2 linked regions of the Tribolium castaneum genome follow. The protein of the gene in region 2 interacts with the protein of the main gene of each other region in a pairwise test. Links are inferred from orthologs where the notes say so. Each region holds a gene or a part of one and is shown on either strand. Other genes may lie near its edges.

The links.
Region 1: the proteins of Su(dx) (region 2) and Ubc10 interact in binary tests that used the Caenorhabditis elegans proteins (3 or more experiments, as listed by UniProt). The link is inferred for Tribolium castaneum from reciprocal best matches to the Caenorhabditis elegans genes wwp-1 and ubc-18.

The regions. Positions count from the first base shown.
Region 1 is NC_087401.1:17,188,585-17,191,517, reverse strand, and holds Ubc10 (ubiquitin-conjugating enzyme E2 L3), read right to left. Parts: upstream 1,367-2,933; 5' UTR 1,252-1,366; coding exon 1,225-1,251; intron 1,176-1,224; coding exon 1,080-1,175; intron 1,036-1,079; coding exon 694-1,035; 3' UTR 540-693; downstream 1-539. Other genes in the region: structure-specific endonuclease subunit slx1, read left to right, coding at 1,428-1,585, 1,630-1,681, 1,733-1,918, 1,968-2,297. UniProt on the Caenorhabditis elegans protein: Ubiquitin-conjugating enzyme E2. Accepts ubiquitin from the E1 complex and catalyzes its covalent attachment to other proteins. Required for diet restriction-mediated lifespan extension, probably acting as part of a complex with ubiquitin-protein ligase wwp-1.
Region 2 is NC_087398.1:5,358,194-5,360,687, forward strand, and holds the end of Su(dx) (E3 ubiquitin-protein ligase Su(dx)), read right to left. Parts: intron 2,447-2,494; coding exon 1,612-2,446; intron 1,561-1,611; coding exon 1,291-1,560; 3' UTR 832-1,290; downstream 1-831. Other genes in the region: HCLS1-associated protein X-1, read left to right, coding at 1-247, 304-421, 477-719. UniProt on the Caenorhabditis elegans protein: E3 ubiquitin-protein ligase which accepts ubiquitin from an E2 ubiquitin-conjugating enzyme in the form of a thioester and then directly transfers the ubiquitin to targeted substrates. Ubiquitinates klf-1.

The sequences.
Region 1 (2,933 bases), on a different chromosome or scaffold from region 2:
TAATGCGACTACAAGCGAGTCCTGATACGAATAAATAAACGTGTTTTATTCACACAGTTATTTCCCCCAAACCTCGTCCGGTGTTACATAACCTCACTTTTTGCAATTCCCTTGAAACTATCATAATTGGGTCACAACTCAACAAAATCGCACTTTAATAATTACAAATGAGTAGAGAGGCCCGCATTGGAAAAATAAGCACACCGTTTGGTTGAATTAACCCATTTTTGTGGCCTAACCTCAAAAAACATTTCAAGTGTTTAAAACTGGGCATTTGAATTATAATTGGGCAAAAGATGACTTTGGCGCCGCAATTAATTGATGTGTGCCGATTGTACTTAACTAGAACTAGTTTTGGTGTGTTTGGCCCAACTTTGGGCAACCTAACCTCACAAAAACCAAGCGTTTTATTTAGCAATTGTGGGCGTTTGGTACGATTTGGCGTCCAAATTAGGCCAGAAAGCAACGTAACGATCGTGTTTTTGGGGATTTGTGGTGATTTTGGGGCCGTAACCCCACAAAAAAAATGGGGGCTCAAGTTGGATGAAAGTACTTCTTTATTGATTATGTTACATAAGCGAATTAAATAATCTATCCCACGATTTAGTCCACTCACTTAAAAATAAAATAAAGGGCCCCCTCGAGCGTGGTAGAAAAAAAATTCGTAAAATCACAGTTGGTGTAATCGCCCCACTAGTCCGTCGGTCTCTTTTCGCTGTGTTTCTTCGTGAACTCCTCGGCGTTTTTGGTGAACTTCTTCTTGTCTTTGATGTATTCCTCGGCCAGATCGGCCCTGAGGGGGTGCTCGGGCTCGGGCTCGTTGACCAGCGCCACCAGGGCTTGGATCACTTGATCGGTTTTGGTGGCCGGCTTCCAGTTCTCAGCGCTGATGATCGGGAGGCACACTTGCCCCTTTTCGTCGATGTTCGGGTGGTAGATTTTCGTCTTGAAGGTGATTTTGGGGGGCTTGAAGGGGTACTCGGCCGGAAAGTTGATCTCTATCTTAAACGCGCCCTTGTTGTACGGGGGGTTGTCCTAAAACCGCGCCGTGAGCTGGGGGCGAAGCCTCGCACACTTACCGGAACTATGAGCCCCTGCCATGTCAAAATGTTCGTCTCGTCGACCTGAATGTCCCGGAACGACTTCAGCCCGGAGTTCCGGATGTCCCCCAACTCCTAGCAAAAATACAGAATGAGCCCGGAATCTCGCCCGGAAAATACCCACTTTTTGCAGTCTTCGCGTGGCCGCCATGTCGCGGATTTAGTCCAAAACGACCGGAAACGTAATAATATCAAAAAAAGCACTTGAATTGTTGGGAAAAAGCAATTTTTAATCACCCATTACACACTGAAATTTGACAGGTGAGGTGGGGTGACAGTCAAGTGTGCACGCACACCGCCAAATTCCCTAGGAACTTAACCTCGAAAATGCACTTTTTCGGGGTTTATCTGCTCTATTGCACCAACCCCAAGTACAAGGGGCGCGTCTACATCGGCTACACGGTGGACCCCAACCGCCGCATCAAGCAGCACAACCGCGGGAAGCAACACGGTGGCGCCTGGAAGACCAGTCAAAAGGGGCCCTGGTAGGTACAAAACGCCACACACCGGCCCTGTATAACACTTTCAGGTCGATGGTTTTGATAATTCACGGCTTTCCGAACAATATCTCGGCTCTAAGAGTAAAAATCGGACGTTGATTTGGTTTCAAATCTAGGGTTTTTTTGTTCTAGTTTGAGTGGGCGTGGCAACACCCGCACGTTTCGCGCCGTTTGGCGCACGTTTCGAAAAAAAATACCAAAGAAAAAGTTTACGATTTTACGATTAGGGTTTTAAGCGAAATGTTGCAAGTGGGGCCTTGGAAAAGGCTCCCGCTGACGATTCGCTGGCTCAATGATGAATTCAGACGCGATCTAGAGGTAAAAATTGCCAAAAATTTGTAAAAACTTGTCGTTTTTTTTTTTGTAGAAAAAGCCACCGGACCATATGCCAATTTGTTACGGCCCAGTTATTAGTAAAAAAATCCCAAGTGTTGTCACACTATCGCACGAAACGAATTTTTGTTATTTGTGTAATGATGAGGTTTTTAATGGAATGAAGTGTTTGAATTTTGAGTGCGATTTAAACGCTCATGTTATTTGTTTGTCCAAGTGTTTTCTCAAAGGGGGCGACTACGTGCCGGTGGAGGGGCGGTGCCCCAAGTGTTGCCAACCCTGTCTTTGGGGGGATTTAGTCCGCAGGTTTAAGGGCTACCACAACCAGGACGTGGAAATCACCAACTTAGGGGATTGTGAATAAATTGCTCAATTCTAATTTAAATTATACCGACTTTTACCACGATTACAAAGTTGGCAACACTGGCAAACGTGCCGTTAATGGCCATTTCATTACAACTTATTATTATTATTATTATTACAAATATATATTTTGGTGATTTTTTTTGTTTTTTTTTCCTAGACCCACTTGACAAGACGACATGATTAATTGTTTGTACAAAAAGAAAAATGTTGAATAAATTTGTAATTTTTGCAAAAAATTGTTTTATTTTAATAAATTGTCGGCATTTATTTATGCATTTTGTGGATGAATGTGGTGACAGAGGTCGCAGGCTGGGTCAGAGCACTGACAGACATATTATAAATGGAAGGAAACGCTCGCGTTTGCGTTTCATCACCTCTGAATTATTTTTACTGCTACCATATGTGAATAAGTTGGGAGTTTTTCATTAAAACCGGCGAGAAATTTCCGTTTTTCGTCTTCTTCCGGCAAATAATCAAACGGAGGAAAAAGTTCAAAACGATTTTATTTCACTTTTTGATTAATGAGATTATTTCCACCAAATCGGTCGGGGAGTGTACGGGGAGGGGCTTCGGACTTGGCCGCGCCCACCGAGCGCTGGTGTTGGCAGACGAGGCCGTAAATCAAACCGGTTCG
Region 2 (2,494 bases):
GCGACCCCTTTGAGATGCACAAATATTTCGAGCAACAAATGAGCGAAATGTTGCGCAATTTTGGTTTTCATGAGTTTGGGGATGGTTTTAACCACAGTTTTGACTTGCCACAGCTTGAAATTGAGGAAATCCCTGATGACGAAGGCGCGCCAAAATCTGGGACTTTAAGGGATCAATTCCTCAAACCTGGGTTTGAGAAACCCAAGGAGAGAATTGAAGAGAAAAGAGATGAAGACATTGACGGCAGGTATACGATAAAATTTTTGTTTGTTTTGTTTTAATCCGTTGAAAAATTTACTTTAGGTTGGATATAAGGGATTGGGGATCGGTTTTTAAGGGTGAAAATTCTCAAACGCCAGTACCGAGGACACGCTTTTTTGGCCAAAGTGTTACCTCCAAAACTGTTAGGAATCCAGATGGGGTACGGTTGCGTGTTATGATTTTAAAAATTTAATATCAATCTATTCATATTTTAGTCTATTGAAACGCATCATACTGTGAGGGATAACGAGGGTAATGAAGAAACGACCATCACGCGAAAAGTAGCTGATAAAGAATATACCATTACAAAACGTAGAGATAAAGAAGGTAAAGAAGAAATTATTGAAAATCTGGTAAACTTAGATGAGAATGAGAAGGATAAATTTTTCCCGCAACAAAGGAAACTTCCGGAATTGGGTAACAAACCTTGGCCGTTTTTTGACCAGTTTTTTAAATAATTGAATTGTAAAGTATGAAAATAGAAAAATTTATTTATTGATATATTCTGGACACGTAAGCAAGCATTAAAAACAGAAACGTTGTTGAGGTCGTTTTAAGAAATAAAACAACTTGTTTTACTTGTAATAATTTAATAATTCGCTTCGCATATTTATATACATTTCCTCACTTTACAATATTCTACAAGTGATTATAAAGTAAACAGGTTGTAAATGAAATTTCAAGCCAGTTCGGTTCCAGTCAGTGTATACTTTGGTTAAAAATAAAATTAAAAAAATAATTATGATAGTGCACACCCACGATGGAATGTCATTTTTCGTATTCAAAAATATGTAGTCTTCCCCACATTATTTTCTCTTCAAAAAGTATTTACATTTAGTTATAATCTGTTAGATAAGCTAGAAAATAGGCCAATATTTCTACATATCACATTGAAATACAATCCGACCGAAGTAACAACACAAACAAACTAACAAAAATTGCACAAGCACTGCAAGAAGAGGCCCAAAGAAACGAAATCTCAAACCATGGTCAAGAATCAGGTACGGCTGTTATTACACAATTGAAACTTTACTCCTGACCAAACGTATCAGTCTCTTCAATCGCGTAAGTCAACTTTTCCACCAACTGTTCGTAACTTTTGTACGGCGGCAGATCAAGACGATTGAAACACGTGTGCGAGCGCGGCAACCACGACTCCTTCCCCACCTTTTCAATGCAGAACTTTTGGGGCCCGTTGGAACCCATCAGTTCGGCGAAGCCGCCCACAGGCACACGACACGTCCCTGTCACAAACTGCAGCAAGCGGGCCCGCTTCTCATTATCAGACTGACGCACAAACTAGAAGAAAGAAAAAATAGAAGTGGTTTACAACGTGGTTTTAATACAAACCTGCCAAAACCACACCACCGGCTTGCTACTTCGCGTGTAGTGCCTGTAGATAGTGTGTCGTTGCCAATCGTCCACGTCTATCTCCTGCATGCCACAGAGCAGCAGCTCCAACTCCCTCTCGTCGAAATACTTCAGCCACTCAATGGGCACAACTTCGTTAAAACCGTCCAAAAAGGCTTGAGTTTGCTGCTCGATGCCTCTTGTCATCCTCCACTCGGTCATTAACGTCAAATACTCCTCTTTATTTTCTTCCGTAACTTTTTCCTTATCGCCGTTTTTCTTCAACTCATGGTGCACCACTTGGCCCAAAACTTCGAAATCGACGCTATAGTACAACTCCAAGCCACACTCATCGATGTTGTTCTCCTTGATCCACACCAGCGAATTGTAGAATTCGGGATCTATACTTTCAATATCTTTCATCACAAGTTTCTTCCCCAGCATCCGCTTGTAGAAGGGCATTGTGAAACCCGAATAAATAAATCTCCCGTGGTACAAAGCCATGGCGATAAAGCGCCCAATAAATTTGAAGTAAGTGAGGTGTTCGGGGTTCACATACGACGCAGGGTTGATTTGTAGACTGTAGTTGTTTTTGTTTGCGTACTCGAAGAGACAATACATCGGGTTTAGGGCTTCGTGCGAGACTAAGAAAAACCACTCGCGACTCACACCGCCGTAGTCTAGCCCTTCTTCGCCTTTGAAGATGATGTAGAGGCGCCTTCGGAGCTCGTACGCCGGTAGGCGCATTATCGTGTGGAAGGAGTCCTCAAAGAGGGTCTGACGCGACACTTGGATTTTTATGTGGCTGGGGAGGGCGTTGCTCTGACACAGGAACCTGAAAGGAAAATTTTGTTAGCTTCGCATTTTATTTTTATCAAACAAT